2 linked regions of the Drosophila melanogaster genome follow. The protein of the gene in region 2 purifies or fractionates together with the protein of the main gene of each other region. This does not show direct contact. Each region holds a gene or a part of one and is shown on either strand. Other genes may lie near its edges. The genes, in order: CG3107 and ApepP.

Region 1 (7,071 bases), on a different chromosome or scaffold from region 2:
GCCTGTTACCTCCGGACAAACCAAGGCTACTTAATCTGGGGGACGCAGATCTTGAAGGGGGAGGAGTCAGAACGCAGCACTTGCTTCCCCCTCCCAACCCCGTTCGAAGCCACTATTGCAGCTGCGGGGTAGTTCCTACCCCACCTCCATCGCAACGTCAGCACCGGACGACAGGTCAACGACCCTAGAGCTCTGTAGCGTACCGCTGACGACGCTGCGCGTGTGACTGCAGCGGAATGCGATGACACCGTGGGATTTGGCTAAGCGGCCGGCAAAACACTGGCCTGGCAGTCGAATTTCGGTAATGGAGCGTAGCTAACTTTTGAATCCAACTGTGTATTTAATCAAATTAATTAAGTCTGACTGAGTATCTAAATAAATCGAAGATGTTACTTTGATAAAATCCAATTTCAAAGAATGCAGGGAAATATTCCAAGGTAGTATTATTACCCTTAGCTTAAATAATATTTATTGGTTCCAACTTCCTACATTTGGACTTCGGTGACAGCGATGAGAGTGTAATTGAGAATTTGACTGACTGAAATGGTGAAAAGGTTACCGTTTACTAGTCATGGGAAGTATTAGGAAACCCCGAGAGTCTATATATGAAACGATACATGTGACACTTAGCGCATATAAATCAACGTTTTTTCAAAGGTATATGATTAAAAAACAAGGGATCTCTTTTATATTAAATTTCCTGATTAATCCCATAAGTCCTTTGGACATATATGAAAGAAATAAACCAATAAAATAAATTGAATTTTATAAATTTATTACATTTACAACTAGTTAATTATTTATTATCCATTTGTGACTAGTTTCAAGCTCCAAATTTGCATTGACTGGACCCAAAATGCATTTTCCATAATGCATGGACTCTTTTCCAAAATAATTTTCTATAGCGCATTGCAGATCATCAATAGTTACAGAGAGCATTCGGGAGCGATAGCTCTCAAAATCCTCTTGTGACACTTCATAAAGGAAATAATCGATGCCAATATTTCCAGGTGCTATTGGAGTGTCTAATTGCTGCAACACACCAAGCTTCGACTCAAAAAGAGACTGTTGGTCAATTACATTTTGATTTGCACGTAACCATTTATAAGTTTCATCAAAAGCGTTAAGCGTTTTAGTTGAATTTGGATCTCGATAACTATAAAAACTGAAAATCCCGTCTGAGCTGATTTTCGCACCAGCTCCGTAAGCGCCATTCTTCTCGCGAATAACAGGCAATAGATATTTGGCTGATAGCAATTTTGCCAAAACTCGCAGTGTTGGATGGTCTTGGTGGAGATATGGGACTGTGAACAAAGCTTTAGCACAGTAATTAACTGGTATGTTCATCACGTATTGTTGACAGCTAGGGTCCAAATAATGGATATTTCGACTTGTTTGTGTTTTCCCAAATGTTGGCAGGCTCTCCAAAAATTTTTCGTAATTACTTATAGCCGATGGCTCATAAGATTGTGTTGTGTTAATGGCGCCACGCATATTATCCTTGTTAAAAACTTTTGATGCAATTGTCGACAATTTATCACATATATCTACCGTGCTTGTAGAATGTACAAAATTTTTCATAAAGTCTATATGATCTACCCCATATAGTAGCGATTTGAGTTTACCAGCATCACACACTTGTGATGTTGCTCCCAACATAGCATATAAATGACCAGAACTAGCCACTCCCACAGATATATATGATATATAATTTTCTATAAGCATTTTAAGTCGCTCCGAGTCATCAAACCTAACATTTTTAATCAACTCTTGGCACAAGGCAAACATCTCTGGAACATTGTTATTAAGTGCATGTGTGTTTATCATTACGCTTAGACTGTAACTTTTTGAATCCCTAACATCTTCAATTAAGTGTAACTTAAAATCAAATCCACCGGTTTTTAAAAGGATGTGCTTATCGAACTCCCGATAATTATAGTTTGTGGTGCCCATTGCACTAATAACATTGCAAAAAAGCGGCATAAGCTGAGTTTCTTCATGACTTAGTCCTGTTATATTAAACATGCACTTAAAATAAGTAATTTCATTGGTCGGAACCTTGCAAATCTGGGTCCGAACATTTTGAACATTTTGTATGAATAGCTTAGGCCATTTTGGTGGATCTCTTACATCATTCATTGTCAGACAAGGTAAAAGATCAGTATTTGACTCAGCCTTCTGATATGAATCCAATATTAATCCTCTCTCATATATTTTTTCAATCTTAACTTCATCCAAAAGTTTTACTTTTTGTTCTACCAACTCCAACTCGGCCTGTTTGAATTTATCCTCATATGCCTCATCAGGTGACATAGTTAATGTTAGTCTATGATTGTTATTGGCGAAATATTTCTCTATTTTCTCTTGGAAATATTTTTTATTCTGGCTTATGCTTTCCCGAAGCCCTGATATCATATCTGATACGCGGAGATTACTGACTACATCGCCATCATGATTCCATAATGCTGTGGAATTAAAAAGCAAAGTATTTCCGAAGTTCGGATTCTGGTGCTTTAAAGACAACTCAAGATTGTGCAGAACACTTTCAACATGCTGGGAATCAAACCCGTCATTCATAGAATTAATAATGGTTTTGTCAAAAATTTCAATGCATTTTTTGAAGTCTTCAACTCGAAGGTCTTGTAATCCAACGACGAAGGTTGTGTCCTTAGTATCCGATGAATATCCAGTGGTTTGATTGTATCCACCGGAAAAATTTGGTTCTATAAGGTTTTTGTAAAAAGGGGAGTTAGGCCCACGAATAAGTACCTCAGATAGCACGTGTAATTCAAAACTTTCTTGTATATTGGTTGCATCACACATCAGCAGTGCAATAGCAATTTGGTTCTGTCGATCAATTGTTGTACCCATGTTATCTAGTCTACTGGATATATGTACAAGACGAGGCTGAGTCCAACGCTCTTGCTGACGTATTAAACTGTAAGAGTTGTCAACCCAGCTTTGATCTGATAAATACTCCTCGTCGAGAAGTGCGAGGGTTTTACTTGCATCAAATAATCCGTAGGAATATATGCGAGCATTACTTGGATGATAGTATTTTTTGTGGAATTCAACTAAATCGTTGTATGCTAACTTGGGTATTTCCAATGGATTTCCGCCAGACACATGTCGATATGTGTGATCAGGAAAAATATTATTGAGTAAATTCTGACTAAATACCTGCGCGTTTTCAGAAAACGCACCTTTCATTTCGTTATAAACAACTCCTTTGATTACAAGCTTCGATTGTTTATCGAATATATCTTTGTTTTCTAGCCTCCAGCCCTCTTGAAGAAAATCGAAATACGCCAGGTTTGGTCTAGAAAGGAAGATATTATTACGAGATATCGTCAATTATTTACATCTTACCTGAATACGGCATCTAAATAAATATGTTGCAAATTCCTAAAATCTATCTCATTCATCGTCGAAAAAGGATAAATAGTATAATCTGGACCAGTCATTGCATTCATAAATGTCGCTACCGAGCGGTTAAGCATTTTGAAGAAAGGGTCCCTGACAGGATATTTTTGTGAACCGCACAACGATAAATGCTCTAAAATATGAGGTAGACCAGTAGAATCAAAGGGCGTGGTTCGAAAATTAATGGAAAATACGTTGTTTGAATCATTTCGGTCGATATGCCATAATTCTGTACCCGTGCGCTCATATCGAAAAGTATAGGACGTAAGTTCAAATTCAGAAATGTGTTCCACACGTTCGCATTGGAAGCCATGGTATGTCTTTCCCTCTTCATACTTGTATTTTCTTTTCTTAGTTACATGTGGCATGCAACCAAATTGTCGTGGAGATTTGGGCTGCTTGGTATTGACGCCAGAAATGTTCTTATATGTGGACACCGACTTGAAATTTATAAGGTGATTTCTCAAGATTTTGTATTGTGGAGACCACATCTTCCACCGCGATAACATTCCACCTTTTAACATGAACTCAGCACCATCCGTGCTGAATCGCTAAATACAAAAGAATATATAAAGAAGTATAAATTTGTATATCAAAGAATCATACATGTGTTTGTATTTACAATTTAATTATTAGTAACTGCCGAAGAAAGCCACATCCGACCCTTTTTATAAGGGGTTTTTTTTTCAATGGGGTTCAGTTGGGCTACCTTTGATGTTAGCTGATGAATAGCTATAATAGCTGAGCAGCGATACCAAATCGTTGAATTTTATTTCGAAAATCAGTGGTCATTTGTACACCGTTTGCTTCGCTAGTTTAATGGTGCTCATTATCGGCCTTCAATTCAGACTAGACTTCGCAGGGTGCGCACTGTAGAAAATACATATGGGGGCCGTTGAGGCCAGTGTAACAGAAGAACGGAACTCATCTATTCGTCACCGCGCGCAGGAGTTACACCTTTGCCCAACAAAATTGTGAAGGATCTTCGCTAAGATTTGGGTCTCAAAGCGCACAAAATTCAGATGGTTTAGGATCTGAAGCCAACCGGCCATCGTTTTCGCTGAGAATTCTTCAACACAATCAGCAATTTTACCGGCCGCATATAGGCCGACACCAATCCACAAGCATACCATGAGCAATCGATGCACCTAGAGAAATGCACAATTTGGTGCGGTTTATGGGGTGGTGGTATCATAGAGCCGTCAATGGGAAATGCTAACGAGCTATGCTCGACGAATTTTTGTTTTTAAAAGTGCGTGAGAATAGTCTAGAAAACATTTGGTTTCAACAAGACTGCGCAACTTGCAACATTGCCAATCAAACCATCGACTTGTTCGGCAACAGCAAAGTTTTTTAGCACTATAGAAATTTACAACACTAATGAAATAACGAGAGAATATCAAAACAATTTTCAAAAGTGTGGAAGTGGCAGTTTCGTTTGGTTTGTGAGCGTTAGAATGTTATTGGCGACATGGGTCAATAAACTTGGGCTGAATTTGGATAAAGCTTAAAAACGGCCTTGATGAAAAATCATTCCATAGATCTAATCGGCAAAAACTTTAAAAATAACTGAACTGTGACAATCATCTTGACCCTGAATGCCACAATTTAGTGTTTCTCATGCAATTGCATGTATGTACGTATGTAAGCGTGTATATTACTGCTTAATAATATACATACATGATAAATATGCACGTATACGTAGTGTTTCGGGCATAACAATGCCTTATTGGCATTAATTTTTGATTCAAACAGAAATGGACCTAAATAATTTTACTCACCGGCGTATAGAAAAAAAAGACAATTAAAATCTAAATTATTACATTTTATTCGACTTATAATTGAGTCAAGCTATCGTCGATGACTTAGCTGCGATGGGGGAACGGTGGAAAATGGTACACTAGGACGTTTTCATACAAATTATGAAATGCTTTGAATGAAAAATATAATGCTAACAATTTCATTTAAAAGCGCGGTCTGCGCTAAATGAGTATTCAATATTATTAATATCCAGAAATTAACTAACTCACACAATCATTATCTCTTAAGCAATCCCAACATCTTAAGTCAAGGCAAATCAACTAACTCACACAATCATTATCTCTTAAGCTATCCCTACATCTTAAGTCAAGGCATCACTCTTATCTTGAAAGCTTTAGGCTCTTGCATTTCTCTCGGCAGATTGTATACTGGGTGATAGTCTTAACTTACATATGTATATTTTATCGTTATATTTAGGTAAATTCAAAAAATGTTAAGAAAAGAAAGATCTATCTATATACAATCTATGTAAAATCTAACTACATATCTGTTACATCTTGTGAATGCATGGCGCATAGCTTGCCTATGCGAACTCCATATTCTCCAGCGTCCTGCATCGCTGCTTCAGAAACGATGCCATCGATTCACACACTGGAACTGAATTTTTGAAGTCTAGTCCACTCTGTATTGCCCTTAGCCACAGAATATTGGTAATGTTTGCCAATGTTTGTAATGTTTTGTAATATTGCCAATTCTTTAGCGTAAATGTCATCCGATATTGCGAATGGTTTCCAGTGCAGTGTCTCTCAGAAATGATACTAAAAGTTGTAGATTTTTAATGTTTTAATGTTTTGTCAAATTGTGGCTATTATTACTATTAATTTTTAGATATTTTCAAGAAATGAATACACGTTTTATAGTAGAGATTTCGAACGGTTATAATTCATTTCTTTAGGTTAAGCTTGGCATCGAATCGCGCATACATAGGTTACGAAAGCGAATGTTAATGAGCGACTTAATTACAGAGCAAACAGCAGAACGGTAAGGTGCGAGAGCACTAGGAAGAGAGAGAGAGAGAGAGAGAACGTAACCGGAGATAGTGCAGCACAGCTGATATGCAATTAAGTTTAAATGTGTCTTCAAAGTTCGCATGTTTACAAACAACAAGTTAAGGTATTGCCTTCAGCTCAGAAAGCCAACACGGATCATTTAGATGCTTATTCTAAATGCTTTTCTGAGCCCTCGTAAATAGATAGTTAGATCTTTCTTTTCTTTACATATGTATGTGCGCTTTTGAAATTTTAAAATTTTTTGAAATTCACTTATAAATAGCGAAAAGTTAATTAAATAAAAAAAACGTTCTCATGTTACTATTCCACCAACGACGATATTTTGACGCACATGTCAAAAAATTAGAAATACCGATGTGACATCTTGAGAGGACGCAATATGTCCTAATCCAGCACAGCATATCAAACGTGAATTGGAATTTTTTAACAATTTTAAAACTCCCAGAATTATGTTTTATTTTTGAACGATCATAAATCATTGAATAAAGAATTGCGAATAGCAATTTGAAAGTATACGATTTAGTAGCGACATTAAGATACAGATGAAGATAAAGACCGTCATGTACAGGATTCTTTGCCAACTGGTGAGAGCTTAAATTGTCATTATTGTCGATGTTCCAGATTCTCCGCAGCCAATAAAGGGTACGCCCGTTGGATGAAAAGTATGTAACTGGAAAAGGATGCGTTACGAAGTATATATTTTCTTGATCAGAATCAATAGCCGGGTCGATCTGGCCATGTCCGTCTGTCCTACTGTCCATGTGAACGTCGAGATCTCAGGAACTTTAAAAGCTAGAAGGTTGAGACTCAGCATAAA
Region 2 (4,986 bases):
TTTGCGGAACGCCAACTCCACTCACTGAAGATCCAGATCCAATGTAAGAATGCGAGCGACCGTAGGTCTTCAGGGACCTTCTCAGCGATGGTCTTTTCCACTTCTGAATCATATCTCTACGGAAGTACTTGTAGCAAATGGCTTGTAGCTCTTGGAGTCGTCTTTCCTCGTGGGCCACGGTATTATGTGATGCTCCGAGAGTACGCAGATCATTGATAATCTTCAGCTGTTCGGCCATCTCCTTCTCCATCATGAAGGAACGCTTCTTGGAATCGATTGTGGGATCAAATACAAAAGCTGGCAAATTGTCGAAGTCTCCTCTGCGCCGCACAAACGTATCTCTGCAGCTCTGATCTCCTTCATCGCTGTCCGGTGATTCCATTTGGGTCTCATCCTCTTCGAATCCCGTGAGCATGGTAAGAGTGTGGCCAAGAGAACTCAGCTGCTTGCCAATATTCACATCCAGGTGAATATCCACGCCCTCCATTTGCCACTTGACATTCAACAGCCACTTGGCGTTCTCACCCTTCTTAGCTGCTGTAGTGCGGGAACACACCTCGAAGGTTCCCTCGGAGACAACGCAAACGTTCATAATGGGCTCAGCGCTGTTGGGCTTCCAGTCATCTAGATTTGTTTCAAAATCATCGGCAAATCGCAGGCACAGACCCTGGAACTTTCCCTTAGACACTAAAGCTCCCGAGTTGCAAGCTGAGATAATCGTGTTCTCCAGCGTGATTACAACCGCGCCCTTGGCATCAAAGTCTTGGTATGAACGGGAGCCAAAGGTCTGCAAAAGAAAATTTATGTGGTTCAAATAATCTTTATATTACAGATTTAATTGGATACATACCGTAGTGTTGACCTGTTTCAGGGGCAAGCAAATGCCCATGTCCTCCACGGTGAGTTGCAGGAAGAGCGTAGACAAATTTGAGCCTGCAATCTGGCCAAAAGCCACGCGATCGAACACTTGTGGATTCTGCATATTTTGGTTCTGATGCTGTCCCGAATACTGACTAAGGAGACTGTGCTGAGCGTGCTCGTGGCAGAGATTCGCACGCTTCTCCGCCCAGTACTCGTAAGCATTCTTATAGTTAAGCCACACGAGGATCGCCTTGTCCACGGCAATTGGCTGAACGTAGACCAGTGGTCTCTTCAGGGTCAGCAGAATCAACTCCTTGTCTTCGTTGAGCAGTTCGTCTTGGAAAGCATTCCTCAGGTTAATGGTAGTGTGGAAAAAGGCGTACTGCTGGAACTCCGGCTCGGCCTCGTCGAAAATCACATTGCGTATAATCTGACCCAGGGACAAGTTGAAATCTATGTGAGCCTTAAAGAAGAGCTTACGATTGCTCATATCGCCTAGGTTCTTCACACGGTTAGACAGCTGCAGCTCCAGGATTCCGGTCTCGAATCGAACAGCCGAGGAGCAGGGTGTAGTAGCCGTCAATTGGATGCGTTTCATGGAAATGTTGATTGAGAAGAGGATGCGCTTAAGCGAGGACTCCTGTACTGCTCCGGAACTATCGCCACTCTCTTCCGTCCACAGGGGCACAGGTTTCTCTCCTCCGTAAACTTTCTGCAGAACCTCGTTGATTTCGCGCATAAACACCTTCTGCACAAAGACCAGATGGTTTAGGAGATCTGTGGTCAGGCAGCGCTCGAACTCGCCGATCTCGGCGCTGGCGTTCACGTAGCCACCTTGGCGCAGGACAATGCCCTCGACATTTTCCGTGTGATCCTGGCGGTGGTCTGGAATGTATTCCGCCAGAACGTGAACAGGTGGCAGGCCAATACAAGCTTCCGATGGAAGGTTCATCTCATTCTAAAAGGAATTACAAAGAAAAAACACATTTAATTACATCTACAACATTTTTTAAGATCTTAGTTGAATTCTTTTCAAATACTGTTGCTGAGCTTCTTTATAAGAGTTATACTCCTTTTAATTATACATTAAAAACATTAATATGGGATAAGTTTCTTAATGAAATATTTAAATTGTTCCCGCTACACTTTTAGTGTTACCCTTTTAGGCAAAAGCTAAAAAATACTGAAAGCTTGGAGGCGATATGAAATAATATAGTTCAGCATTTTTGACGTGCTATTAATTGCAAAATTGAATGTGTCAGTGCAAAAAGATTATAAAATATTTGCACCCTGTAGTTTAAACAATAGTTTGACAGCCTTTGTAAGTGTGACACTTATATTCGCCCGATTATTTATGTATTTATGGGATACAAGAAACTCGATTACGGTTGATTATCTTATCGCCCCAACTGGACTACAAATTCTGTGTTTTTTTTTTCGCTCAGTTATTTTGCTGCCATTGAGGAACCACAATGAAGAGGAGCACCACCCAAATTCTGACCAGGTTGAGGGAGCTAATGCTCCGCGCCCAGGTGGGCGACTCCTGCGGCATATCGGCATACATTGTGCCCTCGGACGACGCCCATCAGTCGGAGTACCAGTGCCAGCATGACGAGCGACGCTCCTTTGTGAGTGGTTTCGATGGATCCGCTGGCACGGCGGTGATAACGACGGAGACCGCACTGCTGTGGACCGACGGTCGTTACTATCAGCAGGCGGAGAAGCAGCTGGACTCCAATTGGGTTCTAATGCGGGATGGTCTGAGCGCCACCCCGTCGATTGGCGCCTGGCTGGCGAAGAATCTGCCCAAGGGCAGCTTTGTGGGCGTGGATCCTCGCCTGTTGTCGTTCCGCGTATGGAAACCCATCGAAACGGAACTAAGCTCCGCGGAATGCCAGCTGGTGCCCATCGAAGGCAACCTCATCGACGAGGTCTGGGGTGAGGATCAGCCACCGCAAACCTCAAACAAGATTATAACCCTGAAACTAGAACATTCTGGCGTAACTATCGCCAAAAAATGGGACGTGGTGCGCCAGCAGTTGAAGGAGAAGAATGCTGATGCCCTGGTGGTCAGTGCTCTCGATGAAATCGCTTGGTTCTTGAACCTACGCGGCTCGGACATTGACTTCAACCCCGTCTTCTTCTCCTACTTGATTGTGACCAACGATGAACTACTGCTCTTTGTGGACTCTGGCAAATTGCCCACTGATTTTGTGCAGCATCAAAAGGAGAACAATGTGCAGATAAGCGTTTTGCCTTACGCCTCAATTGGCATTGAAATCAGTAAGATTGTGTCGACCAGGGAGTCAAAGATCTGGATAGCACCCACCAGCAGCTACTATCTAACTGCTTTGATACCCAAGTCACGTAGAATTCAGGAGGTAACGCCGATTTGTGTGCTGAAGGCCATTAAGAACGATGTCGAGATCGCAGGCTTCATCAACAGCCACATTCGCGATGGAGTCGCTTTGTGTCAGTATTTCGCCTGGCTTGAGGATCAAGTGAATAAGGGTGCGGAAGTCGATGAAATGTCTGGTGCCGATAAACTCGAGTCCTTCCGGTCGACAAAGGATAAGTACATGGGCCTTAGCTTCACCACAATTAGTGCTTCGGGACCCAACGGCTCTGTTATTCACTATCACCCAAAGAAGGAAACCAACAGGAAGATAAATGACAAAGAGATTTATCTGTGTGATTCCGGAGCTCAATACTTGGATGGTACTACGGATGTGACGAGGACCCTTCACTTCGGTGAACCCACTGAGTTTCAGAAGGAAGCCTACACTCGCGTTTTAAAGGGCCAACTGAGCTTCGGCTCCACCGTATTCCCAGCTAAGGTTAAGGGACAGGTTCTTGACACTCTAGCGAGGAAGGCCCTGTGGGACGTCGGTTTGGACTACGGACACGGAACCGGCCATGGAGTAGGTCACTTCCTAAATGTCCACGAAGGTCCCATGGGCGTAGGAATTCGACTGATGCCCGACGATCCTGGTCTCCAGGCGAACATGTTTATTTCCAATGAGCCTGGTTTCTACCAGGACGGAGAGTTTGGCATCCGTGTCGAGGATATTGTTCAAATTGTGCCAGGCCAGGTGGCACACAATTTCTCCAACCGAGGCGCCCTCACATTCAAAACCATCACCATGTGCCCGAAGCAAACGAAAATGATTAAAAAGGAACTTCTATCGGATGCGGAAGTAAAGCTGCTCAACAGCTATCATCAACAAGTCTGGGACACTCTTTCCCCAATCCTATCTCGCGAAGGAGACGAATTTACTCTGTCCTGGCTCAAAAAGGAAGTTCAGCCCATTTAATTGCATTTTTAACCCGTTATTTCGGTCATCTTTAACTAATATTCTTTCCCATGCATACACTTACTCTTTTCTCAAGACTAAAATATTAAAAAAAAAATGCTTTTATATACCTTTTAAAAGGGCTTATCTTAAATTTGTACGCTGAACAAATATTATGTAAAAAAAAAAAGTTTATAAATGTGTAAAGCTCACCTGAATTTTGGTATTAAAGCTGAGCGTGTGCGTGGGTAGGTCGATAACAAACTTTGCCCTCTGCCCAGTTACTCCCATGGAACTAACATGATTCATGCGATACTGGGCCTGCAGCGAAGGAAGTAGCGCAGCATTGATGGACAGACTCTGCAAGAGCACATTGAACTGCATGACCAGGGGCTGAAGCAATCCATTCTGGTGCTGTGCTGTGCCTGTCTTGGATTGCGCCATGTGTGCTGCCCGGCGAGCCGCCTGTTGCGGCTGCTGCTGGGCACCAGCTCCGCCGGAAACAGTGCGCTCCCGCATTTCGCTGGCCACTCCAGTTCCACTGCTGGCTCCAACTGAGTTGCGGGCATGGAACGGAGACTCAGGCTCCTCGGCGGTATGCGAACGCATCGTGGACCGACCAGAGTTACGCTTTACACGCAGCTCCTGTAGAGTGGACGACAACTGCTTAGAGCTTCGAGTCATCATTCCATGTAGGGCCACCGGATGTTGCGGAATGTCTATGTTAACAGCACCAATCGACAGCAGGCCACTGTTCTTATCCTTTCCACGCTTGGAAAGGCTTGAATAGAGAGTCTGGCTCTTACCCACGGTTACCTTTACTACGGTTCTG

The links.
Region 1: the proteins of ApepP (region 2) and CG3107 purify together in Drosophila melanogaster (affinity purification with mass spectrometry, with the first as the bait; one large-scale study listed by BioGRID). This does not show direct contact.

The regions. Positions count from the first base shown.
Region 1 is NT_033778.4:5,088,775-5,095,845, reverse strand, and holds CG3107 (uncharacterized protein), read right to left. Parts: upstream 5,266-7,071; 5' UTR 5,104-5,265; intron 4,843-5,103; exon of another isoform or gene 4,046-4,842; intron 3,975-4,045; 5' UTR 3,948-3,974; coding exon 3,370-3,947; intron 3,320-3,369; coding exon 793-3,319; 3' UTR 756-792; downstream 1-755. UniProt on the Drosophila melanogaster protein: ATP-independent protease that degrades mitochondrial transit peptides after their cleavage. Also degrades other unstructured peptides.
Region 2 is NT_033779.5:16,907,505-16,912,490, reverse strand, and holds ApepP (aminopeptidase P), read left to right. Parts: upstream 1-2,072; 5' UTR 2,073-2,182; exon of another isoform or gene 2,183-2,306; 5' UTR 2,307-2,333; coding exon 2,334-4,175; 3' UTR 4,176-4,262; downstream 4,263-4,986. Other genes in the region: tweek, read right to left, coding at 1-787, 851-1,819, 4,368-4,983. UniProt on the Drosophila melanogaster protein: Catalyzes the removal of a penultimate prolyl residue from the N-termini of peptides, such as Arg-Pro-Pro.